4 linked regions of the Oryctolagus cuniculus genome follow. The protein of the gene in region 1 interacts with the protein of each later gene in a biochemical or structural test. Links are inferred from orthologs where the notes say so. Each region holds a gene or a part of one and is shown in the gene's direction. Other genes may lie near its edges. The genes, in order: RAB6A, OCRL, BICD1 and KIF20A.

Region 1 (7,061 bases):
AATGTTGTTCAAGCCACCCAGAGCCACCCAGCCTATGGTATCCTGTTACGGCAGGTGAAATGGACAAAGACAGCTTCTTGAAGTGGTAAGTATAACTGAGGAGATGGACAGGAAAATGTTCAAGATAGAGTGCGTGCAGGAAATTAAGGAGGTGAAATGTTGATAAAAGGGCCTTCAAAAACGGTCTAATTCCTCCTTCTTCCAGATAATTTTCCATTTACTGAGCCCCATATTACTTGACATGCAAATTTTAGACCACACACTTTTTAAAATTAAAGGGGCAGAGAGACAGACAGACAGACAGACACACACACACAAACACACACACACAGAGTTTCCATCCACTTGTTAATTCCCTAAATACCCACAAGGGCTAGGGGCCAGGGCCAGGAGTCAGGAACTCAAATCTAGGTCTCCCATATAGGTGGCAGGAACCCAATTACTTGAGCCATCACCATTGCCTCCAAGAATTTGCATTAGCAGGAAGCTCGAGTCAGGAGCCAGAGCTGGGATTGAAACCAGGTAGTTTGTCCAATATGGGACACCGTCATCTAAACTGGCATCTTAATGGCTAGACCAAATGCCCATCCAAACCATAAAATTTCAAACATTTGACTTACATAGAGTACTTGATAAGTATCAGTGATTAGCACCCAACCTATGAGGTAAGAGATGGATTTTGGCACACCTCTCTTCAAAATAACAGGGAATAACACTAGCTGACTGGGTGACCACAGAGACCAAAGCATCAGGGTAGAGTTGATTCACAGAGTTCTGGAGAAATACAAAGTCATTACAGTTCCAATCTCAGATGCTACTTGAAAAGCTACTTCAGAAAACATAAAGAAAAACCTGGTATTCATCAGAAAGAAAAAAAATAGCCATTCGCTTTTGTTTGCAAGCGTTTTTTAAAAAATAGCTTCTTTAGGGAAGACATTTGGCCTAGCAGTTAAGATGCCACTCTGGGAAACCTCATCCCATATGGTAGTGTCTGGGTTTGACTCCAGGCTCCACTCCTGATTTCAGATTCCTCCTAACGCTCACCCTGGGAGATGGTGGTGATAGCTCAAGTAGTTGGCTTCCTGCTGTCCATGTGGCAGACCTGGGTGGAGTTTCTGGTTCCTGGCTTTAGCCTGGCCCAGCACCAGCTGGTGTGGGCATTTGGATGAAGATCTCTGTCTTTGTCTCCATCTCTGTCACTCTGCCTTTCAAATAAATAAAAATGTTTAAAATCTTTCATTTAGTTGTTTTGTTAGTGTCATGTTAGTTAGCATGTCATGTTAGTTTCACACATTTTTTTTTAAACAAAAATATATGCGATATACTGGTGTTGCAGGCAGTAGCTTAATCCACTACACCTCAGTGTGGGCCCCTAGTTTTCCAGACTATACTAAGTAATTCTTAGATTCTTTTTGGTTGTGCCGTTAACCTTCTTTTTACAACTTTCTTCATTTGAAAGACAAGAGTGACCTAAGGAGGGAGAGGCAGAAATCTTCCATTGGCTTGTTCACTCTCCAAATGCGTGCAATAGCTGAGACTGGGAAGGCCAAAGCCCAGGAACCAAGAATCCCATCTGATTCTCCCACATGGGTGGCAGGAACCCAAGCCCTTTGGCCATCATCTCCTGCCTCCCAGGCACATTAGCAGGAAGGCGGATGGGAAGGACAGCCAGGACACTATTCCAGGCAATCTAGTAGAGGCTGTGGGCGTCCTAAGCAGCGGGCCAGAACACCCACCCCAACTTTGCTTTTCTGGACAATGAAGTAGGCTGAAAATGGGATGAAAACTATGGGTCCTCTCCACAGAAAAACGCACCTGCTTCATAGGGTTAGTTTAAGGAACCTTCTTCACTCGTGGCAGAATCCCCGCTTCAAGCAGCAAGGGTAATTTTTTTTTTTTTTTTTTTTTTTTTTTTTAGGATTTATTTATTTGAAAGGTAGAGTTACAGAGAGACAGGCGGATAGAGAGAGAGAAGGAAAGGTCTACCATCCACTGGTTCACTCCCCAAATGGCCGCAATGGCAGGAGCTGGGTCCATCCAAAGCCAGGACTTAGGCCATCTTCTACTGCTTTCCCAGGCCATAGCAGAGAGCTGGATTGGAAGTGGAGCATCCGGGTCTGGAACCAGCGCCCATATGGGATGCTGGCGCCGCAGGTGGCCCCCTTAACCGCTCAGGCTTTCTAATTTGTAGCCTTCCAGAAAGAAATTTCTTATGTGGACTTCAGTTGCATTATCTGTGAAAAGGGGCTGAGTGTAACTGATCTGTAAACCCTTTTCTGGCAAGGTGGGCATCATCTAGACTCTAGAGTTAGCAATGCCGAAGGAGCAAGCAAACCAGTTTAGGCGAGGGAACTGGATGGGTTTACCAATAAAGGGGTCGCAGAGGTTCAGGTGGCAAATGAACCTGGGAGCCACCTCACAACCTGTGGATTTTGCAAGTCATTTCCTCCCTCCGGGTTTGTTCCCTCCTGTGCAGAATAAGGAGGCCCTGATTCTGGCAGCTAAAACACCCTTGGAGCAACCGAGTCTAAGACGCCGTGAGAAGAATTAAGATGAAGATGACGGTGGGGGTGGGCACACGCGAGAAGGGCGGCCCCGAGGGCTGTGAGGCAATACTGAAAGCTCGGGCAAGAGGCACCTATTTCACACCTCGAGGGTATCCGGTCCCAACCGCACACCGCCGGGGTCATTCCGCCTCCGTCCCGGCCCCGCCTCCGCCGGCTCCATCTTCCTTTCCCTCCTCTTCTCCACCTCCCGCCCCCAGGCTGCGCCCTGCCACACTCAGCATGGCCGCCGCAGCGGTCCGCTTTCCACGCCTCCACGGCCGCGCGCGCTCTCGCGCCTCCACCTCGCTCTGCTCCCTGCCTGCCCTCGGCCTCTTCCCATTGGCCCACCCCGTAAGTGACGTAAGTGTTCCATTTTTCCTCTCTGCCCCCCCAACCACATACCGCCCCTTTCTCCGCCCCGCCCCCTCCTCGGTTCTCCCTGCCTTAGACTCCGCGGCGCGGGAGGAGCGAGGACAGCTGGCTGGACCAGGAAGGCGCTGGCGGAGGCGCGCACGCGCACGCGCACGCACGCACGCACGCACGCCGGCTGCCGGAGGGGCGGCAGGCTCGCGCCCGGGCTCGCCCTGCGCCGCGCCAGAGGCTCGCGCACTCAGCAGGTTGGGCTGCGGCGGCGGCGGCAGCGGAGGAGCTGGGTGTGAGAGGTCCCGGACGCGTCTGCGGCTACCGCTGCGCCACCTTCCGCCTCTCCCACCCCAGTCTCCGTGCTGGGCGCTGAGGAAGGGAGCGGTGCTAGCCTCAGGAGCCCTGAGCACAGCCCTGGGTGTTTCGACACCGCCCTCCCTCGCCTCCCAGCCGCGGGCCTCGCTCGGTGTTAGGCGACTCTGCGGGGAGGCGGCGGCTGCTGCTGCTCGTCTGTGGCGAGTCCCGCCGTCCTCCAGCCTCGCTGCTCCGCCGGGGCCCTGCAGGGGCCGAGAGAGCTCGGCACTCGCCTTTCCGCTCGCCCTTATCGGCAGCCGGTTGGAGCAGCGTCGGTCCGGGCGGTCTCTGGGCTGAGGCGGCAGCAGCTCCTCCGGCTCCATCATGTCCGCGGGCGGAGACTTCGGGAATCCGCTGAGGAAATTCAAGCTGGTGTTCCTGGGGGAGCAGAGCGGTGAGTGCGCGGCTCCCCCACTCCTGGCAGCCGGCCGCGGCTTCCCCGCACCGCCCCCGGTGCGGCCCTCCCGTCCGCGGAGGCTCCCTGCCGACCTCGCGTCCGCGCTCCGCTCCACCCCGGCCCCTCTTGGCCCTGCTCGCTGGGTCGGGTTTTTCATTTTTCCGCCGGCCCCGAGTCCCGAGCCTGCCTGCTGCCGGGGTCCCCGCAGCCCGGCCCGTCCTCACCCCGCCCAGCCCCAGCCGCCTTGTCCATCTCTTTCTTCCTCCGGGCCCCAGCGTCCTCTCGACCCCCCTGCTTTCCTGAGCCCCACCCTTGTCCCCTGCTCCGTCCTCAGCTCGCGGGCGAGGTGAGGCCCACCCCGGGAAGCCCCCGCTCCTGGGGACCGGCCCTTCTTCAACCTTGGGCACGGCGGGTGGGAGCTGGGCGTTGTTTTCCCCAGAGGCTTGGCCCTTGGAAGTGCTGAGCTCCTGGGAGGGGAGGAGTGGTGGGCGTAGGAGAAAAAAAAAATCGCGGCAGGTTTTCACCTGGGTGGGGAATTGGTCTGGCTGTAGAGGAAATATTTCAAAATTGGGGGCGATTTGAGAATGGGGTGGTCGGGGGTGAGCGCGGTGTCGTCGGCAGTGGCGATTTTTTTTTTTTTGCCCCATGGATTGGGCTGTGGCTTGTCGGCAAAACCTTATTTTTTCTCTTGACTTTCATCGCCGACAATTCTTTGGGCATTGTTGATGCTTTTTCGATCTCTGCCAGATGCTATGTCATGATCGTTTTACTTGGAATTTTTCAACATCTCACCTCCCCTTTTTTCATCAAGAAGCAGTGTCCGATTCTCCTCATGGTGGTGCACACAGGAATTACTGGGAAATGTTAATTATTCATTTCTTCTTGAGTGTTTTCCAGTTTAAATATATATATATATATGATTTATGTGAGAGAAGGCTTAGGATGAACATCTTTTGTAAGATTTCCTTTGGGTAATGGAGTAGAGTAGGAATAGATTCATCATCTAGTTACCTAAATTAGATTTAAATGCCATTTGGGCTAATTTTTTTTTAATGCTTAATGTTTTATGGTATCTGATGAGTGAAATTGTTATGTCATTTACCTGGTCAGGATTGTTGATGTATTTTGTATTAGATACAACATCTTAATTTTGTAATGGCTGTCTCTAAGAGTACTTCTTATGGTAATGATAGTTTTATGCTATATTATACAAACTTGACAGTAATTGAGAGAGTCACCGTCCTTTGTTTCTCTCAAATTTTTCATGACCATCTTTAATTTCAGAAATGGAGAGACTAGTACCAAGTCATCAAGTTTTGGAAATCTAGTTATCTTAGGTGAGGTTATAGAAGCCATTAGTTATTTGCTTTGACTGGAAGGCATATCAATGATATAAATTCATAGCTGTTACTATTACCTTGAACTATTTATACTAATTTGTATGACAATATAGTAGGTTAATGCTTGTTGCAAAATTGCCTCCATTTGGACCTAGAAAATAACTTGTCTCCTTTCATACATGGATTATCTTCCCTTAACCAGAGGAAGGAAACGATCTCCCTCTCTTTGCATGTGGATTTTCCTGAAGTATGAACATGTTCCTTTAGGTGAGCAAATTGTTAGAACCCATGGAACTGGTTCAGCCATTATTATATGGCAGTTTCAAGAAAGTGCCATGCATAAAATACAGTTTATTGGTCATTATTGATAAATAGACCCTAATGGGCTTATTGTGCACTTTAGGGATGTTATTGCCTGCCTTATGTTGTGTTGCAGAGCCATTTAGTTTGCATGAGAAAGGCATTAATCTTTGTGTCTGGGAATACTTCAGCATAAATAGAGATCTTTAGTCTGCAGGATTCTTTTGAATTTCTTAGGTGTTTATGTTCTAAATTACAGAGTTTTGTTTACTTCCGTTAGCTGTTTTATTAATTCTCTACTCCTATAATTCTTGAAGCCTTGTGAGATTACAAAAAGAAAATGGGCTTCATTTTTTAGAACAGTTTCAGATTTGCAGAAGCATTGAGATGATAGTGTGGAGGGTGTCCATATATTCCTGCACCTGGTTTCCCCTGTTACTGACATCTTACATTAGTACGATATGTTTATTAACAGTGAGCCAGTATTGAGACGTTATTAGCTAAAGTCCGTAATTTAGATTGCCTTAGTTTTTAACTCATGTTCTTTTTCTGTTTCAACACTCAGTTCAGGATACCACATTACGGTTAGTTGTCCATAGGCTCCACTTAGACGGTTTTCAGGATTGTGTTTACATGCTTTTTTCTCTGAATTGTGAGGTTAATTATCTTTTGAAGGCTACTGTACTGCTAAGTAATATTACCCAATAGCTTTGACAATGAAAGATTGATCTCACTTTCTGTGGTCAGTGTCTAGTTTTCTTATGCATTAGCAGAGGTCTGTAGAATCTGTCATCTTGATGTAATTCTTCATGAATTATTTATTTTTGGATCTGTTAGAATTCCACAATTTAGCTCTCAAAGCCTGTACTCTATGGCAAAGCCTTGTTTGTTTCTTTAGTAGCATTTACCTCATTTATAATTATATTATTTTTTGTTGTTGTTGTTTTTGTCTATTTCCCACAGCAAGATGCAAATCCCGTTATTGTTTTTGTTCATTGTGTTCCCCATTGAGTGCTCAGAAATATTTGATAAAATAGTGGTTGAATCTAGTAGTAACCAAAGGTTGTAGCCTGTGCTATTTTTCTGCTATGGTGAAGTTAATTTTTTGTTTTTTGTTTTTTTTTTAATTTATTTATTTTGAAAGAGTTGAGGGTAGGGTAGAGAGCAAGACAGAGGGGGAAGTTTTCCATCTGGTTCACTTCCCAGATGACTGCAATGCCCAGTACTGGACCAGGCCGAAGCCAGGAGCTTCATGCATGCCTCCCTCAAGTGGCTGGGGCCCAAATACTTGGGTCATCTTTTCCTGCTTTTCCTAGGGAAAAAGCAGGGAGCTGGATAAGAAATGGAGTAGCCAGGATGAGAACGGACACCCATATGGGATGCCGGCATCGCAGGCAATGGCTTTACCCACTAGGCCACAATGCTGGCCCCTGGTATAAACTTTCTGTGGTTTCTCTATAATTCAATAGTATATGTGAAATGTTGAAATACACGGTTCCTGAAGTTTCCTTCAGGAATATCTTTTTTTAAATATCAAGATTTTTGTTTGTAGACTTTATTTGAAAGAATGTCAGATATTTCCATTCACTGGTTCTCAGCTGAATCTGGGCCAGGCTGAAGTCAGGAGCCTCCGTCCAAGTTTCCCACTTGGGTCACAGGAACCCATATTCTTGGCCCGTCATCTGCTGCCTCCCAGGTGCGTTAGCAGGAAGTTGGATAAGAAGCAGAGGACTCATGCCTCCAAACAGGTGTCTTAATCTG
Region 2 (7,040 bases), on another chromosome or scaffold:
CTAGGCAGGGCTTAGTGTCATTCCTCCACGAAGAGGGGGAGCGACATAATGGTGCCGTGACTCGGATATGAAGCCTAGGCAGGGCTTAGTGTCGTTCCTCCACGAAGAGGGGGAGCGACAGATAAGCTGTCATCCTAGTGCAATAGTCATCCTACAATTTTGTGGCTGATTCAGTCTTTCTCCACTGACTTGGAATGTCAGATATCCTAAGTTTTGACTTACCATACATGTGTGAGAGTGTGTTTGGAGGCTCTATATTCTGTTCCATTGGTCTATCTCTATACTGTACTATTTTTTAAAAAGATTTATTTATTTATTTGAAAGTCAGAGTTACACAGAGAGGAGAGGTGGAGAGAGAGAGGTCTTCCATCAACTGGTTCACTCCCCAAATGGCCGCAACAGCCGTAGCTGCGCCAATCTGAAGCCAGGAGCCAGGATCTTCCCCCAGGTCTTCCACATGGTTGCAGGGGCCCAAGCACTTGGGCCATCTTCCACTGCTTTCCCAGGCCACAGCAGAGAGCTAGATCAGAAGTGGAGCAGCCGGGCCTCAAACTGATGCCCATATGGGATACCGGCACTGCAGGTGGCGGCTTAACCTGCTACGCCACAGCGCCAGCCCCTATACTGTACTCTTAATTACTGTAGGTTTAAAGTCAGTCTTGATACCTAGTCCATTACAGATTTCTGGAGAAAGTGGGTAACAGGATTGAAACAATACTTTGGGGGACTAGCATTGTGATGCAGTAGGTTAAGCAGCTGCTTGTAATGCCAGCATCCCATATCCAAGAGCTGATTGGAGTCCCAGCAGCTCTGCTTCCAGTCCAGCTTCCTGATACTATGACTTAGAAGATTGTTCAAGTACCTGGGCTCCTGCAACCCATATGGGGGACAGGATGAAGTTCCTGGCTCCTGGCTTTGGCCTGGCCTACATCTAGCTGTTGCAGCCATTTGGGGAGTGAAACAGCAGATGGAAAATAGCTCTTTTTCTGAGTCATTCTGCCTTTCAGATAAATTAGGGAGTCTTTTTCTTAAAAGGAAACATTACTCTGGGAAGAATATTTTTATGACTGTCAGCAAAGTAAAAAGGTCAAAGCAGAGATTAAAGCCAACAGGATTTGTTTAGGGAAAATGCTGTAACCTCAATAGGATATCAGAAGGGCTTACAGTAAGGTGATGCAGTACGAATTGAAAATCAGGAATCTAAAAGTAATTCCAAAGAAAAGGTTAACAAAAATTGTTGACAGATTAGAGACGGATATTAGGAAAGAGAAGAAAGCTATGGCTTTGAGGTTTCAATCCCCGTTAACTATGTGAAATGATGAATTAATCCTGTCACCATGTTCATTATCAGTGAGGTACATCAGGTGAGAGGTTTGGCCAGGGATATACATTTAGACGTTGCTTGCTTAGAAGCCACCTGGAGGAGGTTCAAAGTAGAAGTAAAGGTCAGCATTTTGGGGGATTTTCCAATTTATTTTTTTTTAAGATTATTTATTTGAAAGTCAGAATTACACACAGAGAGAGGAGAGGCAGAGAGAGAGAGAGAGATCTTCCATCCTTTGGTTCACTCCCCAGTTGGCCGCAATGGCCGGAGCTGCAGCGATCCAAAGCCAGGAGAGCCAGGAGCTTCCTCTGGGTCTCCCACATGGGTGCAGGTGCCCAAGGACTTGGGCCATCTTCCACTGCTTTCCGAGGCCATAGCAGAGAGCTGGATTGGAAGTGGAGCAGCCAGGACTATAACCCGCGCCCATATGGGATGCCGGCACTGCAGGCAGTGTCTTTACCGGCTATGCCACAGCACCGTCCCCTGATTTTCCAATTTAAGAGATAGAAGAAGTACAGGCATTGTGGCACATCCGGGATTAAGCTGAAGCTGCAGGCAGGGGCAACGCTAGCCTGCCGGTTCATGTCCAGGCTGCTCCGCTTCTGATACAGCTCCCTGCTAATGAACCTGGAAAGGCAGCTGAGGATGGCCCCTGCCACCCATGTGGGAGACTGGATGGATTTCCAGGGTCCTGGCTTCCGGGACATTTGGGTAGTGAACCAGCGGATGGAGAATTTCTCTGTCTCTCTCTGTAATTATGTCTTTTAAATAAATAGATAGATCTGTTTAAAGGGGGGGGGATAACCAATATGATGCATTGTATCCTGTTAAGGATTTTTTGACTAGAAGATGTGGATCCTATTGGCCCAACACGTTTGAGTTCTTTCATATATATGACAGTGTTTGGCTTATGTGGCAGTCTTCAGAGATCTCAGCACAATTGTAGTGTCACAGAAAACATGTAAAACATCCTTTGCTGGACGTTGGTGGAGACGCCCCCAGTCCGTCGGGTCTGTCGCTGCAGTTCTGCAGGTTGGCCACAGGGGGCGGAATCTGCGGCGGCCTGGAAAGCTGGCGGGGGCGCGAGGCGCCGCTCTCTCTTGGGTCAGGCTCTCCATTCCCGGCTCCCCGCTCCCGGCTCACGACTCCGGGCTCCCGGCTCCTGGCTTCTGGAGCCCGGCGCCGAGCAGTTTCTGAAACGACGCGTAGCCCAGGCGGGTGGGTGTGAGGACGCGGGAGGCAGTGTCGTCGGATCCGCCCGCAATCCACAACCCCGCAGAGCCCAGAGGCCGCCCGAATGGAGCCGCCGCTCCCGGTCGGAGCCCAGCCCCTTGCCGTATCCGCCGAGAGAAGGGGGAAGGGAGGCCGCACAGGGCGGGGGATGGGGGTCTGGGGCACTGCGGAGCACGGGGGAGCGGGAGGATCGCGGGGCCAAGAGGCCGAGCGGAGCGAGGGAGGGGTGGGTGCGGGAGGCTACGCCTAGGGGGGCGGGGGAAGGCGGCCAGCGGGGCAGGAGACTCTCCGCCCTGCACCACGCACCCATCCCCGACTGCGCGTCTACAGGAGACCCTTGACTAGCGCCCGCATACTGTGGAGGGTATGGAGATGAAGGGTCCTCTCCGCGAGCCCTGCGTCCTGACCCTAGCCCAGAGGAATGGGCAGTATGAGTAAGTAACCACCTGATTCTCACGGAGGAGGGGAGCCTGGCTTTGCCTGCCAACCCCAACCTGCGACGAGCCAGCGCCTCTCCTCCCACGCTGGCAACAGGTTCTGGCCTAGGTGTGAAGTGACAGTGCTCCTTAACCATGGGGCTTTGTCCCCAACTTCCAAGCCACTAGACTGTGCCGGGTAGTGTGGCTCGGTGGAGGGAATCACTGGGCAGGCTGCACTGACGTGGGTTGTGTAACCTTGAGCAAACCAATAAAGCTTTTTGGGCCTTAGTTTCCTCATCGGAGGAATAAAAACAAACTGCCTTACCTTTTAGCCTTTACAATGTGTAACTCACATAAGGCATAAGGTAATAACTGGGGGAATGATAAGTGCAAAAGTGCTTTCCAAAATGTAAAAGTGCCATGGAAATGCTTCATTGTTAATGTTACAGACTTGTCTTAACTCCATTCGGCTGGTTCCTCCAGTCTCCCCACCCCCTTATTCCACTTGCTTGAAGGCATATTCATTAATTCAGTTATGGGTTAGGATGGGCCATTAACTGCTGCAGTTAACTGTTGGAAAGAAAAAGTAAGGAAATGTGTAGAAATATAAGTGGGGATTTTAACAGTGTCTGTTACCTTCCACTCTGTCTTAGACACAGGAGCTCAGTAAATACTGCTGACTGATTGATCAAAAGATTATCTTGATAAGCTGTCACCAGAGCTGCCAACCTCACTCCCTTGCCACTGCTTCCTCAGCGTGAGAGTATCCATGGTGACCATTAGGCAACATAGGCTCCCTACCCCATATGCCCACCGGTTTCTTGTTTGTTTTTCTTTTTTTAAAGATTTATTTTATTTTATTTGAAAGTCACAGCCACACAGAGAGAGGGAGAGACAGAGATCTTCCATCTGCTGGTTCACTCCTCAAATGGCCACAGTGGCCAGAACTGGGCCAGGCCAAAGCCAGGAGCTTCTTATAGATCTCCCACCTTGGTAGCAGGAGCCCAGACACTCGTGCCGTCTGCTGCTGCCTTTCCCAGGCCATAGCAGAGAGCTGGATTGGAAGAGGAACAGCAGGGACACAAGCCGATGTCCATATGGGATGCCAGCACTGCAGGCAGTGGCTTTACCCATTATGCCACAGTACTAGTCCTTTTTCACTGGTTTCTTTACATCAGGTTTCTTCCTGGTTTAAAAATTGTTCATCCTTCAGGCAGGCACTGTGGCACAGCTGGATAAGCTGCTGTCTGCAGTGCCGACATCCTGTATGGGCACAGGTTTCAGTCCCAGCTGCTCTACTTGTGATCCAGCTCTCTGCTAATGCACCTGGGAAAGATGGGCCAAGTCCTTGAGCCTATCTCAAATCCTTGAGCCCCTGCACCCACTTGGGTGGCCCAGATGAAACTCCTGGTTCCTGGCTTTGCACTAGCCTGCCTCCAGCCATTGTAGCCATTTGGGGAGTGAACCAGTGGATGGGGGATAGGTAGATATCTCTCTTTCTAACTCTGACTTTCAACTAAATAGATATATCTTTTTAAAAAATTGTTGATCACTTGAATCTAGCCGTCTCTCAACAAAAAAAGAGAGGAAGAAATAGAGCTCCCATCTGCTGGTTCACTCCTCAAATGCCTGCAGTAGCCTGGGCTGGACCAAGGGAAAGCTGGGTACTCAATCCCGGTCTCCCACGTGGGTGGCAGGGACTCAACTGCTTGAGCCATCACCTGCTGCTTCCAACCGTGTGCATCGTCAGTAGGAAGCCAGAAGTCAATGCTGAAACCCAGCCACTCTGATGTGTACACCCCAACCAGCGTCTTAACTTCCAGGCCAAAATCCCACCCCTCCATCCTGTCCCACTTCCATCCTCTGTGTCTCTTGTCCAGATGTCCAAATTGCACAGAAGACATTCCCACAGGCCTAGTCTGCTCTTATTGGAGGTTGCTAGTGCCACTCTAAGTGCATGTCAACAGGTTCTGTGGAGTAGCCCTTCCCTAAGTCCTGATTGGTCAGTTCCATTCATGTGGGAAATTCACACTGTTTTCCCCAGATTTCATCAAACCTTGGAAGACCAGTTTAATGAAACTAAATTCTTCAGGAAGCTGAATTGAAAAGTGGGCTACCACTGCAACTTTCAAAGGGTAGGATCCAGTGGAGAGATGTGACCCTTGAACAAACCTGTGGATTTCTGTGCCTTGGTTTCCTCTTCTGTAAAAACAAAATTTAGAGGGTTGAATACAATAGCTGCATTGTTGAGATGACCACAGCCCAGGATCTGGTCCCTTGGTTAAGCAGATTTGGAGAATGAGGGAGTATGCGTCTGGCCTTGAGATATGTGCCTTATGTTCTCTGGCTCTTGAAGAATTTTTTAACTAGGCAGTAGCAGCTCTCCTGGCTATGTGTATTTGTAGAGAAATCAGATTCTTGTGTGCCAATTCTATATAAGGTATGGGAATATAGTAACAACTGGCAGTTAATGCCTTGATATATGCCAGGTACTGTTCAAAGCGCTTACCATTAATTAGTTCATTTAACTCTCATGTGAGAGTTATTCTCATCACCCAGCTTTTAGAGATATAGAAATTGAGATATAGAGAGATTAAGTCATTTGTTCACAGTTAAGAAGTAGCCGTAACCGATATCCGAAACTATATAACATATAGTTGTGTGTATATATATATATATATAGTTTCTTTTGGAATCATTTCCTGGAGACACCTAATACTGTACACAAGGGCACTTCAAAAAGGTTCTTGGAAATGTGTGTTATGAAAAAGAAATGTGGATTTCAAACTTTTTGCATCAATAAATTTATCTTTTTATTCCATTTTTCCGTAAACTTTTTGAAGTATCCTTACACAGTACAGTCGAAGCTCTACTGCTAATGTTCAGCACAATTTCTGTTCTCCAGATTTTGAGACTAAAATGGTTTGTGTTCATTTTCCTCAAAGTAAGCTCTTCCTCTTTGACCCTTGCTTTCTCAGCCTTTTATCTACTTTCCGGTCTCTGTATGAGGTTAGCGGACTCTTAGGCAACTCATGAGCTTTTGAGGTTGAAAGGGACCTGCCCCACATTCCTATAGTCAACTTAAAATGTAAACCACTTCAAATTGGGCAAGCAGGATCAGAGCAGGAAAACAGCATTAACACTGCCATTTCCTTTAGTTCTATGTAAGCAGTAACTTAGACCTCGTTATCCTCTTCAGAATTAGATTTGAAAAAAAATGAAAACCAGTCCCTTAAAAAGACAGCAGCACGAAATCAGACTCTTCAAAGCAATGACATTTTTAATGTCAGAGGTTGGACAAATGGAGGTGGGCATTTGGTGTAGCACTTAAAGTACCACCTGGGACACCTGCATCCCTTATCAGAGTTTTGTTCAAGTCTCAACTACTCCACTTCCTGCCGATGGGCAACCTAGGAGGCAGCAGATAACAGCTCAAGTATGGGTCCCTGATACCCACATAGGAGCCTAGATTGGTTTCTGGGATCCTGGCTTCAACCTCTCCTGGCCCTGGCTCTTGCAGGCATTTTGGGAATGAACAAGCAAGTGGAAGCTCTCTCTTCTCTCTGCCTTTCAAGTAAAATTAAAGAAACAATTTTTTTTTTAAATGTATTTGAACATTTAAAAAATGTATTTGAATTTAATGATGTTTAGAAATTCTTACCTCTGCTTATAGCTTGATTAAGCTAGTTCATTTATTCCTCCAGTATTTATTGGGCATCTATTAAACAAAACAATATGATAGGGTTTTTGCTTTCAAGGAGCTCAAATCAGTAGAACTATAATGGAGCATGTGTGTTTAATTAGAAGGACAAGCAAAGGGAATAAGACTTCTGGTTCTACTTGGGGTTACAGAGCAAAGCTTCACAGAGGAAGTGGTATTTGATCCAATTCTCAGGAAGAAAATAGTATTGCTGGAAAAAAGAACCACTTGGAGAGTAACTGACTTTGGGGAAGCTAGTTGACGTTGAGAATGCTTACTAGTATGTTGTGTTTTGATTCTGGGGTGCTAAGTTTAAGTAATAAATGAGACTTCATCTTTCAGGAATACATATGGATTTAGAAGT
Region 3 (7,167 bases), on another chromosome or scaffold:
GCATGCCACGTGGCATCTTAGCTGCCATGCCAGATGCCTTTCTGAGGGAGAGGCGTCTGTAGCACCCACAGCTAGCAGGTGGTAAACTCGGATCTGACCCCAGCAGACCAGTTTTTAGTCTCAACCACGGTGCTATATCCTGCTGTCAGTGTCGTAATCCGGAATCATTCTAGTACTTTGTCCTTTCGGTTTTTGTTGTTATTGTTCGTTTTGTTTTGTCTGTCTCTCCCAGAACAGAAACTGTGACCTCAGGAACATCTCACTGGTCATTTACCATTGTGCCTCGTACAAAATGAATGCTTAATAAATGTCTGTTTAAGGAGTGAATGGATGAGTGATAGCAAGAGAAATCAGTACTCCTGTTCATCTTGACAAGGCTGCTCAGGGATTGGCTTGAGTTAGCATGTCACAAAATGTGATTTTTTTCCTAAACATTTGTAAGTAAGTGTTCTGTAAGCAACTGGAGGCTCCTAGAATAAAGAAGTATAAGGAAACCTTGCTTTGAGGAGTGGTTCAAGAACTTACTTTCTGGGGTAGAAATTTGGTCTAGTAGTTAAGTTACCGCTTAGGATGCCGGCATCCCCTATCAGAGTGCCTGGTTCAAGTCCTGCCTCCTCTGCTTCCCATCCAGCTTTCTATAACGTGCACTCCAGAAGACAGCAGGCGATGGCTCCAGTGCTTGGATCCCTGCCACAGAGAGCTGGATTGAGTTCCTGGCTCCAGACTTCATTCAGCTGTCTCAGCTCTGGCTGTTCAAAGCATCTGGGGAGAGAACCAGCAGAATAAAGATTTTTCTCTCTCTGCCTTTCAAAGACAAGGAAATAAAAATTTTAAAACAAATTATTTTCTACATACTTGTCATTGATATATATATATACACATACATATTTATAATTGGTATACATGATTATAGTAACCTGCAGAAATAGAAGGGCATGGTGTATGAGGAAGTAAGCACTCCTTCATGTTAAATACCTACACATATAGTTGCTTAGTTCAACATTGAACTAAGCAAGTTATTCTTAAAATTATTTATGCATTTATTTTTACTCTATTTGAAAGGAGAGAGAAAAAGAGAGAGAGAGAGAGAGAGAGAGAGAGAGAGAGAGAGAGAGATAAAGCGCCGTTGGTTCATTTCCCAAATGCCTGCAACAGAGCAGCCAGGGTTGGGACAGGCTGAAGCCAGTAGCCTGGAAACTCCATCATGGGTGGCAGGGACCCAGTATTCAAGTCACCACCTACGGCCTCCTAGGATATGCACTAAAGGAATGTTGGATCTCAAGCAAAATACCTGGGACTTGAACCAGGCACCGCAATATGGAATATGCAAATCCCAAACAGTGACTTAAATCTCTGTGCCAAACGCCTACCCCTGAATTCAGCAAAATTTTAAAGTATTGCTGGATGTGCTTGGATGAAGTTGGACTGAAGGTATTAACAGAAAGGCATCCGTCAGAAAAACGGGGCAGGATAGAGCACAGAGAATGGGCAGCATGGAAACTTAGACAAAGGAAAATCACGGAGCCCAACTACTGTCTCAGTCCTTGCCAAAGCAAAGGGGGATCCAGGCAGTGTTCTCCAGCCAGTGGCCCCTTTGGAGGGCTATGCTCAGAGTGCTGGCATGAGCAATGGCCAGGGACTTACCTGGATGAGGCCGGTGAGGTGAGGGGGAGCAGGTGTCATCAGCAGTGGGCCATCCTTCCTCAGTGACACAGAAGACAGAGGGGAGCAGAGGAGGGACTCTCAGCTGCAGGGATGGGGCGATGTGTTCCTGGTCACCCCCTATCTGTAGGAGGTCAGAGTTCATGGTGCCTCCACATTTTGAGTGTTTTCTCCTTTGACTTACCGACTTCTTAGGTCGGATACTCACACGAGAACACACTGCTGGGATGCTCAGCACTTGGAGGGACTCTTTCGTGCCTTTCCTGAGGCAGTGCAAATCGCCAGCAGACAGCCTGCTGGGGTTGCTCATTTGCCCCCTCCACAGCAGCAGCCTCTGTTTTAGTAAGAAAACTGCCCTGTGTGCTGAACACATTTTGGCCGCTGAGACAGCGTGGGAAGAAGTCCCCTGGAGAGTGGACAGGGGCTAGTTAGACCCAGTAGTCACCCAGGCGTGTGAAATTGCTCCTTTTCCTTTTTTTTTTAAATTTCATTTTTAATTTTCATGTTAATTAACTTTTAGCAGATTCACTATGATTTGTAGACACGGACGTAAGGAATCCTTGGTTGTTCTTGGTTCTCATCTCCCCGGGTCTCTGCCACCGCTTCTACTCTGCATTCGGCTCTTTGTGTCTCTTCCTCATTGCCCTCACACTGACTCCCCAGGCGTTCTCTGGGGGGCTCTCAGGAGCCTGAAATGCTTGGTTGCTGAGTTTGTGTCCGTCATGTGTGAAGACCAAGTCCACGGAGGGGTCCTGTGCAGGGCTCTGCAGCGGGATTCAGATCATCAGTGGTCTTGCGGAGAAGATGCTCATGGGTATGGACTTAACGAATGCCTGATCCTGCACACATCAGCCCTCCATGCCTTCTTCTCCCATTACAAACGGGGAGGGGGTCCTGGTTCCTGCCTCAGACAGTTGTTGTGTTTGGAAAGAATGGTGCGGCAGACCCAGAAGCAAGCCTGCACGTGGTCCAAGAACTCTTCAGTTCAAATGTTTATTGTAGGGTCTTGCTGATGCCTTATATGGGGAATTTCGTGCTATTATCCTTTACTGAGCAATCAGAGGCAGATGGCACTTTGACAGAACCACCATTGGGGTTAGGAAGTACAGCTTCTGGAACCTTACGGGGCGCCTGCTGCCTGGCGGTGCTTTTCTGAGCCGACTGATCTTGGGATAAGATGGGCACAGCACGCCGGCCAGCCCGGAGGACCAGGCCGGACCAGAGATGGGGGAGGCGGGCACCTCGGAGCGCGTCAGGCCTTGGAGACGTCGCGGTTGTTGGGTGAAGCAGGCCGGGAAGGCTGTGCGGGCGCCCACCGCGGTAGCCTGGCTCGCTTTTCTCTGGAGCAGGCGCCCACTCCAGGCTTTCCCGAGCTCCAGAGTGGACGCCCAGGTCACCCCCGGGGGCTTGGACGTGCGCCGGGACAAAGCCAGCAGTGAACGCCCGCCCCCCACCCCGTGCGCACATCCCGCCGCCCCCGCCCCGACCCCGTGCGCCTTCCCGGCGGAGCAGCTGGCGGCGGCCCCGCGCGCCGGCGGGAGGCGCCTCGGGAGCGCCCGGCCGGTCCCGCCCCTCCCCGCGCGCCGACTCCACGCTCCCCGCCCCCTCCGGCGGCGGCGGCAGCGGCGGCCGCGGCCGGGCGGGACCGGAGGGCGCCGGGAGCGCCTGCATCACTGGGCGCGGGCTGCAGCGGAGCCGGAGTGAGCAGGTGCAGCGAGGAGCGCGCGCCGCGGCCGGGTGCTACTGCAGTGGCGCGGCCGGGAGACATGGCGGCCGCGCGCCCCTGAGGACGCGGAGCCCGGAGCCCCCCGGCGCCCCGCCCGGGCCATGCGGCGCGGCCCCTGAGCGCTCCCGGGGGCCGGCGCCCCGGACGCGGCCGTGAGCGCCCGCCGCGACCCAGCATCCGCGCGCGCGCGGCCTCGGCTCCCCGGACGCGCGGCTGCGAGCCGGCGCCGCACTCTGCCTGGCGTCCCCGCCGGCCTTGGCCGGCTCGCTCCGCCGCCGCCCGTGCGCCTCCTCCGCCTCGCGCGCCGGGGCTATGGCCGCGGCCGAGGCGCTGCAGACGGCGGACCAGTACCAGGCCGAGATCGAGCGGCTGACCAGGGAGCTCACGGAGACGACGCACGAGAAGATCCAGGCGGCCGAGTACGGGCTGGCGGTGCTGGAGGAGAAGCTGGCCCTGAAGCAGCAGTACGACGACCTGGAGGCCTCCTACGACGGCCTCAAGCAGGAGCTGGAGCAGCTGCGAGAGGTGAGGGCGCGCGGCCGGGGCTGCGACTGGGCCCCTGGGTGGGTGGGAGAGGCTGGGGCGCCCTTTGTTTTTCTCCCGAGAGGAAGATCACCCACGAACCGAGTCGCGGGCTGGAACGTGGTGGGGCAGTGCCCGAGGGGCGGAGAGGTCGGAGGGGTCCCCGAGGGCGGCGTTCAGCGGCGTTGGAACGCGCGCACCCAACTTCTCTCTCCGTTCGGTGTCGGCTCCGTGCCGGTGACCGTGACCGTCCCGGGTTTGCGCCCCAGGACGCGCGGTTCCGGATCTGCGCCAGGTGCGCCGGGTGGGAGAGGGAACTGTGGTGCGGAGAAGTCTTGAGCAGTTCGGGTCGCCGGGGGCTGGGCTGGGCCCTGTGGCCCTTCAGGTCGTTGGGCTTAAGGAGACGTTAAAGCGATTTTGCTGCCCGACGCAGCCGCCAGTGGGTTTGCCCCTGAGGCCCGGGAACGGGGAACTCCCCTGCGAGTGCTCCCGGGGCGCCTCGCCTGTCGGGGGCCGGGTGGCCCTGCGTGTCCGAGGAGGCACACGGTGTGGGGATGACGGTGGCCAGGAAGCCAGAACACCGCACGTCGTGTGTCCTCCCTGCTGTTTGAGGAGCGCCGTCTGCTTCCCCTGGTCGCTGAGGCGCTGGGGGTGGCAGGGAACTGGCCAGGAATGCAAATGAATATACACAAGTCTGTGTTTTAGGCGCCTGTTGGCGTTTTAAAAGCTAATTCTTGTTTGACATACAGTGTTCTCAAAATCTTTTCTTACAAGGTAAGTTTGTGTTTTTTTTTTGGTGGGGGGAGGTGTCGTGTGTTGTTACAGTTAAAAAACATGATTTATAACCTATCCGACACCCAGCCTTCTAAATGAGTACATAATACAGTAAGCATTTATACTTTCGGAGATGCCTTATTTTCTTCTGATGCCTAAATACCAAGAAATTGATGTAGTACATGTGCTTAAAAACCCAAGTGGAAATTAATTTTTATGTATCAGGCTGTCAGTGTCTAGTCTGTGCTTTGTTTTGTTTTTTAAACCGTGCGCACGTCTGTTCTCAGCAGCGGCTGGATTTGTTTATATTTTCCAAATTGGATTAGGTCTTGGTCTGACATGTGTCCGTGCCGTGGCGGGAGCCTCTTGGAGGAAGGCGACAGGATGAGGACTGTAATTCTTGGAGCTGTGTTGCTGCTGTCTTCACCTCTCCGCGCTGATTAGCGGAGTGCAGAGCAGTCGGTGTGAGGGCATCACCTTCTTGGTGCAGGAGGGGTTTCATGTGCTGAAATGGAACGAAACTTTGCCTGGCCTTCCTGCTTGACTTCAGCTAGGGAGTCTGTCCTTGCACTTCCCCTGCGTGGTGAACCTTGCTGCAGTTGGCTGTGGCGTTTAGAAGACCACAGGCTCTTGAGACGAGAAACCTATTATTTATTTACTTCAAATAGACACACAAAATGGTTTGTGTTTGTCACTGATGACATGATGATTTGAAGCATATACACACCATGGAATGGTTAAATCTATCTGATTGTTGCAAATATGTTACTTCCTAGTTATTTACACAGTGAGAACACTTACCCACTGTATGCATCTTTTGAGAATACAGTGTAGCTTCATTAACTGTAGTTGTCTTGCTGTGCCATGGATCTCTTCAACTTATTCCTGCTGTGAGAGTGACATTATGAATCCTTGGACTAATACCTCCCCACCCCTCCTCCACCCAACCACCCCAGCCTCTTGTAACCTCCCTCCGTCCCTCCCTCCCTCCCTCCCATCTTTCCTTCTTCGACTTATTGCAAAGGCATAGAGAGAGTGAGCGAGAGAGAGCGAGAGAGAGCGAGAGCTCTTCTGTCAGCTGGCTCCTTTCCAAGTGCTCACAACAGCCAGAGCTGGGCCAGGCTGAAGCTAGGAGTTGGAAACTCAATCTGAGTATTTCACACAGGAGACAGGAAGTGATGGTAGAACTTGATCCCAGGCACTTAGATGTGGGATGGGAGTGTCCCAAGCAGCAGCTTAACCACAGTACCTGCCTCTGACATTTTCCTAAGAAAACTGGAAGTGTAGAAAGTGACTAGTAAAGGGGGAGGCCTTGTGGTGCACTGGTTAGGGCTGCCATGTGCAGTGCTGGCATCCCTGACACCAGAGCTCCTGTCTGAGTCAGCTGCTCTGCTTCTGATTCAGCCTCTGCTCATGCACTTTGGAGGCAGCAGATGATGGCACTGGTACTTGAGTCCCTGCCACCCATGTGGGAGACCGGGATGGAGTTCCTGGCTCCTGATTTCAGTCTTACCCAGTCCCAGATGTTGTGGGCATTTGGGCAGTGAAACAGTGGGTAGAAGATCTCTTTCTCCCTTTCCCTCTCTTACTTTGTCTTTCAAATAAATAAATTAGCTAGTCTTCAAAAACTATTAGTTTCATTATCAGTACTGAGAAAAATGAGGAAAAATGTTTTGTAGGAATAATATCAGTGGTTTCTTAATGCAGAGTAATGAAAATATCATAATTTTTCTTTTTTTAAAAAATATTTATTTATTTGAAAGGCAGAGAGTTACAGAGAGGCAGAGAGAGAGAGAGGCAGAGAGAGAGAGAGAGACCTTCCATCTGATGGTTTACTCCCCAAATGGTTGTAATGGCTGGAGCTACACCAGTTTGAAGCCGGGAGCCAAGAGCTTCTTCTGGGTCTCCCACATGGGTGCAGGGGCCCAAGCACTTGGGCCGTCTTCTAGTGCTTTCCCAGACCATAGCAGAGAGCTGGATCAGAAATGAAGCGGCCGGCAGTTGAACTGGCACTCATATGGGATACCAGCACTGCAGGTGGTGGCTTTATCCTCCTCCCCCTTCTTAAAAAAATTTTTTTTAAATTTATTTGAGAGATAAAGTTACAGACAGAGAGAGGGAGAGACAGAGAGATAGATCTTCTATCCACTGGTTCACTTTCCCAATAACTGCAATGGCCGGAATTGAGCTGATCCAAAGCCAGGAGCCAGGAGCTTCCTCTGGATTTCTCATATGGGTGTAGGGGCCCAAGGATTTGGGCCATCCCCTGCTGCTTTCCCAGGCACATTAGCAGGGAGCTGGATTGGAAGTGGAGCAGCTGGGACTCGAACTGGCGGCCATATGGGATGCTGGTGTTGCAGTCCAGGGCCTTAACACGCTGTGTCACAGCACTGGCCCCCATAATTTTTCTATAAAAATATGTAATTTTTAAATACAAATTTTAAGTAGATTTTTTTCTATGTGGTAGGATGCTAATAATAACT
Region 4 (7,220 bases), on another chromosome or scaffold:
CTCTCAAACAAATAAAATCTAAAAAAATAAAAAAGAACAATGAGGGATAGGGGCCAGTGCTGTGGCACAGCATGTTAAGCTGTCACCTGCAATAACAGTATCCGATATGGACACCAGTTCAAATCTTGGCTATTTCACTTCAGATCCAGTTCCACACTAATAAGCCTGGAAAAGCAACAGAAGGTGGACCCTGCTTCCATTTTTAGGAGACCCTGATGAATTTCTCGGCTTTGGCCTGGTGGTTATGGTCATCCGGAGAGTGAACAGTGAATGGAAGGTATCTCTCTTTCTCTCTCTGTAAGTCTGCCTTTTAAATAACAGATATCAACTGAAACAAAAAAACAAAACAGACTCCTGGTTTTAGCCTGGATCACCCTGGGCAACTGTGGTCATTTGGGGAGTGAGCCAGCAGATGGAAGAGCTCTCCCTTTCTCTCTGTAATTCTGCCTTCCAGATAATTAAGTAAACCTTTTATATATTTGCACAATGAAATAAATAATTTTGTAAAACAATAAAAATAATAATAGTGCAAGAGCAGGCCTTTGGTGTGGTGTGAAGATGCTGATTGAGATGCTCACGTTCCATATTAGAGTGCCTAGGTTCAAGTCCTGGCTCTGATTCCAATTCCAGCTTCCAGCTAATGTACATTCTGAGAGGCAGCAGTGATGGCTTAAGTACTAGGGACCCCACCTTCCATGCGGGAGGCCTGACTGAGTTCTGGGCTCAGTTCCCACTGATGCAGGCATTTAGAAAGTGAAACAGGATGAAGACCCATCTGTCTCAGTTCTTCAAATAAAATGAAAATAATTTTTTTAGGGAGAAGGAATAATGTAAAATTAATTATGATGTTAGTTGTACAATTCTGTGAATATACTAAAAACCACTGAATTGTTTATTTTAAATGAGTTAGTTCTACAAATTATATACCACTAAAGCTATTAAGAAAGAAATACTACTCACACTAATATGACTAAAAAACCCAATGTTGAAAATATGCAACAATTCCTAAGATCCAAAAAGCATCTTACCAATTTTGATCTCCACTCCTCATGACAGAAGATGCTAAACACAGCTTCTCTCGGATGGACCATGGCTCTGTGGGGCCAGTACTCAGCAGCTTGTGTTCTGAAAGGAAAAAAGGCTTGGAGACCACCACTGGGAAAGTTTTCTGTGTCAAAGAAAGGACTGAAAGCCCAATACAAATATCAAAGATTCTTGATTTTCACCACACCACCGGCGATGGCACCTACTGTATTCTTTACACTGGCATTATAGCATTATATTTTTTCAAATGCCATAGCTCAAGCTCAGATTAAAAAAAAAAAAAAAAAAAAGGCAGGGAATGGGGAGAGAATGCCAGATTAAGACGAACCAGTTGGGGTCGGTGCTGTGGCATAGTGGGTAAAGCCGCCGCCTGCAGTGCCGGCATCCCATAAGGGCGCCGATTCGAGACCCGGCGGCTCCACTTCCAATCCAGCTCTCTGCTGTGGCCTGGAAAAACAGCAGAAGATGGCCCAAGTCCTTGGGCCCCTGCAGCCACAAGGGAGACCTGGAGGAAGCTCCCGGCTCCTGACTTGGGATCAGCGCCGCTCTGGCGTTGAGGCCAATTGGGGCGTGAACCAGTGGATGAAGACCCCTCTCTCCCTCTCTCTCTCTCTCTGCCTCTCCTCTCTCTGTGTAACTCTGGTTTTCAAGTAAAAATAAATAAATCTAAAAAAAAAAAAAAAAAAAGGTGAATCAGGCTGTCACTAGAATACAAGGATTCCAATTTGAACGGAAGGGCTTATTTCCCAGGATTCCGAGCGGCCGCCGGCCCCGCCTCCCTCTTAGCATAAACTTGTTTACTCCCAACGGCCCCTTCCCCCCAACCGTCGGGCCTGAAGGTCCTCTCCTACCCCAAACACGGAAATGGCTGAAACGCACGAAACGCAACTTCCCCACGGACAGAAAAAAGCCCACGGCTCAAATACGCACTTCCACTGCCTCGCAACGTTGGTCCGAGAATGACTGGCTCTTTGAAATGCCTGCCACTCCCACAGAGCTCGCGACAACTCTTCATCAGCAACCCCAGGTTTCCAAGCTGCCTTTACCTCTGACCCTACACAGCTCATAACACAAAAATTCACGGAGCTGTTTTTCTCGTCCTTCTCCCTCCCTGAGGTGAAAGACCGTAAACTCTGGGGCCCTCCGACGCTTATCTTCACGACACGGCCTAGCCCAAATCCCTGAGGACTCCGGGCTCCCCGCCAAACCACTCTTTCGATTTCCTAGCCGTGCGACAGAAATGTGGTGTTTAACCCCGGCTCCCCAACGGCCTCCCAAACAAAAGCAGCCCCGATACTCACTGCCCGTCCCCGTCGCCATCTTGGCTCCGAAGTCTAGCTCCTGAGGAGAGGCAGTCCGACTCGGCCGATCTCCGGGAACTCTGGGAAATAGAGTACGGGCGTTGCTTCGCGGTGCCTCCTGGGAAATGTAGTTTTCTCTCCGAAGACGTAGCGAACGCTCTGAACCAGCGGTCTTGTGCGTTCCGGGAAAGGGCTGTTACCACATAAAAGACAAAATGGCGACTAAAACTTCACCACTTCTTTTAGGCCTCTTGGGAACGAAATGTCTAGACTTCAAGGAAAAGAGTCAGGAATCCCAGGTGAGACACCTGAGAGCCCGCAACGGTTGGTAACCCGGACCCACATTGCAGTTGAGAGGTCACGCTCAAGTAAACGGTCTCCCAGTCGTCCCCGCCTCCTTCCCTTACGCTGATTGGTAGCTACAGGCTTCGCCAGCTGATTGGCCGAGCGAACGCAGCGCGTAGTTTAAAACATTGTATCGGGAACAAAGCTGCACCTCGTGGGTGGAGTTTTACTCTCAGGCAGCCGACGAAGTGATTCGGAACGAGACGTAAGCTGGTACCGCAGAAGGAGCGAGTGTCACGGCCTCGGGTGAGTGTGCGGACGGGCTGCACGCAGCGTTACCAGCTCTTGCCCGCGAGGAGTAGGCGTCCGGAAAGCGGAACTGGAGACGCCTCGTCTCGGTGGGCGTTGGGGTGCAGTCGGTGGAGCCTGCGATCCTCCCAGCCCCGGCGAGCCAGGCTCCCTCCTCGGAGCGTGGCCTTCCGCTTTTGCAACCTGATAGCCCAGGATTAACGTTCGCCTTCGAAAATGCCGCCTTAGGCTGGATTAACTTTCAATCCTCATCGCCTTTCCCTCTGCAGATAAGATACTGGGGCTGGGGCAGTGGGTGGGGAAGGGCGTAGCAATTCTGGCAGCCGGGCCAGGTGTCTTGGGACTGGGCCTTTTTTTTTTTAACCTGGTTTGAAGCCTCTTCGTCCCAAGTCCTTGCTTCACTTTCTTGTCTCCTTTCAGACCTCGGCTGCCCCCTGCTGTCATGTCGCATGGGATCCTTTCTCCGCCCACGGGCTTTCTGTCAGATGAGGAGGTGGGCGTCTCCCCCATGTTTGAGTCCACAGCTGCAGATCTGGGGTCTGTGGTTCGCAAGGAACTGCTGTCGGACTGCTCCGTCATTTCCGCCTCTCTAGAGGACAAGCCACAGGTAAAGGACTAGGGGGAGTGGCTCGGGCGGCGGAAGGCCTTAGCCACAGTTGTCCACGCAAGGTAGAAGTTCTGAGATAGCAATTCAGAATTAAGGGTATGACAAGCAAAAACCCCGTAGAATATGTGGCCTCAAGTTCCTGCTCATGGTTAGCTCCAAGGGAGAGAGCAGTTCCTTCTCTTCACCACGAGGCCCAGTTAAGTGTTGGATAATTTGCACAAGTTCGTCCTGGTGTTAAGTGCAATGGCTTAGCAACATCAACCATTTGTTTAGCTTTCCGCTAGGCCAAGGTTTCTCAGCCACAGCATTATTTGACATTTGGGGCCATAGTCTTTCTTGTGGGGGTTGGCCTTTGTATGGTAAGGTGTTTAACAGCATTCTTGGCCTCTGTCCACTGGATGTCAGTAGTAACTTCCCTATTCTGATGACCAAAAAGTCTAGAGATCACTAAATGCCCCTTGTAGCTGGGAGAAGTGGAGAAATGGCCCTGGTTGAGAGCCACTTTACTAGGCCCAATGCTGAATGTGTTTGTGTGGTTTTTTTTATAAGATTTATTTATTTATTTATTTGAAAGGCAGAGGCAGAGAGAGGTATCCATCCACTAGTCTACTCCCCAGATGGCCACAAGGGCCGGAGCTGAGCTGTTCTGAAGCCAGAAGCCAGGAACTTCTTCTGGGTCCCCGACACGGGTGCAGGGGCCCAAGGACTTGGGCCATCTTCTGCTTTCCCAGGCCATAGCAGAAAGCTAGATCGGAAGTGGAGCGGCGGGTCTTGAACCAGTGTCCATATGGGATGTTCACACTGGAGATGACAGCTTTACCCAGTATGCCACAGCACCAGCCCCTGCTAAATGTTAACATGCTTTGTTATATTGTCTTTTTTTTCTTATCTTTTTTTTTTTTTTTAAGATTTGTTTATTTATTTGAGAGATAAAGTTACAGAGAGAAAGAGATAGAGATCTTACATCTGCTGATTCACTCCCCAAATGGCTGTAATAGCTGGAGCTGGGCTGATCTGGAGCCAGGAGCCAGAAGCTTCTTCTGGGACTCCCAGGGCCTATGCCTGAGGGCCATCTTCTGCTGCTTTCCCAGGCCATAGCAGAGAGCTGGATCAGAAGAGGAGCGGCCGGGATAGGAACAGACCGGCACTCATGGGATGCAGGCGCTGCAGGCATCTGCACTGCATGCCACAGTGACAACTCCTGTCCTTTCTTAGAGTTTTTCTTAGGAACTTAAAGTTCCATCAGAATCGAGTCCTTGACAGTGTCCCTCATGGACTACCAGAACCTGTTGGAGTTTGGGCCATAGTGGGCACTTTGAATGTCTGTTGAATGCTTGAACTGGGTGCTATTAACTCCATTCTACAGATGAGGAAACTGAGGCAAAACATTTTAAAAGCTTGTTCAAGGCTTCATAGTTACTAAATGATGGAATTGGAACTCAAATTCAATTGCGTCTGCCTTGCAGCCTCCCAGCAGCTTAATGACTTGATATCCAATAGTATCACATACAGATTTTCATACCAATCAACCACTTCTAACTCAGATAATTGGTATGGCAAACTAGGTTTGGAGGATACTGATAAGACAGAAAAGGGTGAGAAAGTAGTAAAAAAAGAAAAGTGTGTGTAGGTTGGAATGATTGTGGAACCAAGACTAGCTGCACAGACATTTGGAATGGAATGGGGTGATGTCAGTGTGATTCCTAGGAACTGTGCTGTTTGCCATTTGCTCAGAGGGGGCTGCTGAGATTAATCCATGGTTCCGGATTGGAATTCTGCCACAGGTTCCACCAGACAGTGCAGAGAAGGTGAAAGTTTACCTGAGGGTCAGGCCCTTGTTACCTTCAGAGTTGGAACGACAAGAGGATCAGGTGAGTGAGGAGGGAGTAATTTAAATGGAATCATGTAGTAGAGAAGAGGTTCCCAGGAATGTTTTCCTGTGTGACAACTATTTTCCTCCATCAAAGGGCTGTGTCCGTGTGGAGAATGTGGAGACCCTGGTTTTACAAGCACCCAAGGATTCCTTTGCCCAGAAGAGCACTGAGCGAGGAATTGGTCAAGCCACCCACAAGTTTACCTTTTCCCAGGTATGGAGGAACTGGTCTGTGAATAAGGGACAAGCTTCTAGTGGCAACTTGTTTCCTCTTGAGAAGGAGGGCTTCTCTCTGTTATAAGTTCCTTATTTATGCACACATCTACAATTCTGGGGGCCCTTGACATGTGCTCATCATTATGCCAATTACTTCATGTGCATTAATATCCAACAGTTCTTATTATTACCATTATCCCTATTTTCTTGACAAGGAGTCTCTGGTTCAGCAGCAGTAATGTTGCCAAAGCCGAGCTGATTGTTAGTGGTGGACTTAGGACTTGGATCCTGATCGTCCATCTCCAAAGCCTGTGCTTGGGACCACTGTGCTGCCTCGCTGAGTGTGCAGCACGAGGCCCAGTGCATAGCACTGCCTAAGTATGTGTTGAGCTGGATGAAAGACGCACTAGCAGAGTGGTTGAGTTGTTGGCATTTGGGGAACTTCTGGCAGCACTATAAGAAGGAACCCTTGGGTGGTTTCCAGAGCAAACCACTATGAAGGGATATGCCATGCTGGCTCTGCATGGGAGAAGGGAAGGGAAAGGATCCGTCTCTGAGAAGCTGGGTCTGTCTCTAGATCTTCGGGCCGGAAGTCGGACAGGCATCCTTCTTCAACCTGACTGTGAAGGAAATGGTAAAGGATGTAATCAAAGGGCAGAGCTGGCTCATCTACACCTATGGAGTCACCAACTCAGGGAAAACCCACACAATTCAAGGTGAGTAGTACAGCTACACAGTGTTGCTGACTGGCTTATAATGATTTTTTTTCTTTACTTTTTGATCCTGCAAGTTAGGGACAGAAAGGACTTGTTTCAGCTGTGCATCTTCTGTATACCTCTAGGTACCATCAAGGATGGAGGGATCCTGCCCCGATCCCTGGCTCTGATCTTCAGCAGCCTCCAAGGCCAACTTCATCCGACACCTGACCTGAAGCCCTTGCTTTCCAATGAGGTAATCTGGCTAGACAGCAAGCAGATCCGACAGGAGGAAATGAAGAAGCTCTCCCTACTAAATGGAGGCCTCCAGGAGGTAAAATGTTGGTATACATGGACGCTGGGGCAGTAGCTACAAATCTCAAGAAAGTTTTATGCTAACCTTGTCCTTGCCACCCCTCCAGGAGGAGCTGTCCACCTCCTTGAAGAGGAGTGTCTACATTGAGAGCCGGATGGGTACCAGCATCAGCTTTGACAGTGGCATTGCTGGGCTGTCGTCCACCAGTCAGTTTACCAGCAGTAGCCAGTTAGATGGTATGTACTGTGACTTAGTTCTATGTCAGGTAACAGCAGGAATCCATTCTTTGATACCAATAAGTGCCAGAGGTCTGAGCTCTGCCTTCTGAGGCTCCCCATAGGCCAAAAGTGAGATAGACTGCGCTAGGGCTAATGCTTTATATGTTGGCTTCTTCCCCAGAAACAAGTCACCGATGGGCACAGCCAGACACTGCCCCAGTAAGTGTCCCAGCAGACATTCGCTTCTCCATCTGGATCTCCTTCTTTGAGATCTATAATGAACTGATTTATGATCTGTTAGAACCGCCTAACCAGCAGCGCAAAAGGCAGACTCTACGGCTATGTGAAGATCAAAA

Evidence for each region.
Region 2: the proteins of RAB6A (region 1) and OCRL form a complex in vitro, tested with the Homo sapiens proteins (2 studies listed by BioGRID and IntAct, with this or other methods). The link is inferred for Oryctolagus cuniculus from reciprocal best matches to the Homo sapiens genes RAB6A and OCRL.
Region 3: the proteins of RAB6A (region 1) and BICD1 form a complex in vitro, tested with the Homo sapiens proteins (3 studies listed by BioGRID). The link is inferred for Oryctolagus cuniculus from reciprocal best matches to the Homo sapiens genes RAB6A and BICD1.
Region 4: the proteins of RAB6A (region 1) and KIF20A form a complex in vitro, tested with the Homo sapiens proteins (2 studies listed by BioGRID). The link is inferred for Oryctolagus cuniculus from reciprocal best matches to the Homo sapiens genes RAB6A and KIF20A.

Annotation. Positions count from the first base shown.
Region 1 is NC_091432.1:65,087,303-65,094,363, reverse strand, and holds the start of RAB6A (ras-related protein Rab-6A), read left to right. Parts: upstream 1-3,070; 5' UTR 3,071-3,587; coding exon 3,588-3,657; intron 3,658-5,202; exon of another isoform or gene 5,203-5,230; coding exon of another isoform or gene 5,231-5,267; intron 5,268-7,061. UniProt on the Homo sapiens protein: The small GTPases Rab are key regulators of intracellular membrane trafficking, from the formation of transport vesicles to their fusion with membranes.
Region 2 is NC_091453.1:107,239,293-107,246,332, forward strand, and holds the start of OCRL (inositol polyphosphate 5-phosphatase OCRL), read left to right. Parts: upstream 1-2,387; 5' UTR 2,388-2,621; coding exon 2,622-2,660; intron 2,661-2,911; coding exon 2,912-2,991; intron 2,992-7,040. UniProt on the Homo sapiens protein: Catalyzes the hydrolysis of the 5-position phosphate of phosphatidylinositol 4,5-bisphosphate (PtdIns(4,5)P2) and phosphatidylinositol-3,4,5-bisphosphate (PtdIns(3,4,5)P3), with the greatest catalytic activity towards PtdIns(4,5)P2.
Region 3 is NC_091440.1:128,273,127-128,280,293, forward strand, and holds the start of BICD1 (protein bicaudal D homolog 1), read left to right. Parts: upstream 1-3,337; 5' UTR 3,338-3,700; coding exon 3,701-3,913; intron 3,914-7,167. UniProt on the Homo sapiens protein: Regulates coat complex coatomer protein I (COPI)-independent Golgi-endoplasmic reticulum transport by recruiting the dynein-dynactin motor complex.
Region 4 is NC_091437.1:25,990,579-25,997,798, forward strand, and holds the start of KIF20A (kinesin-like protein KIF20A), read left to right. Parts: upstream 1-2,713; 5' UTR 2,714-2,936; intron 2,937-3,359; 5' UTR 3,360-3,381; coding exon 3,382-3,546; intron 3,547-5,330; coding exon 5,331-5,417; intron 5,418-5,513; coding exon 5,514-5,633; intron 5,634-6,212; coding exon 6,213-6,351; intron 6,352-6,476; coding exon 6,477-6,664; intron 6,665-6,752; coding exon 6,753-6,882; intron 6,883-7,045; coding exon 7,046-7,220. Other genes in the region: BRD8 (bromodomain-containing protein 8), read right to left, coding at 1,029-1,125, 2,346-2,364. UniProt on the Homo sapiens protein: Mitotic kinesin required for chromosome passenger complex (CPC)-mediated cytokinesis. Following phosphorylation by PLK1, involved in recruitment of PLK1 to the central spindle. Interacts with guanosine triphosphate (GTP)-bound forms of RAB6A and RAB6B.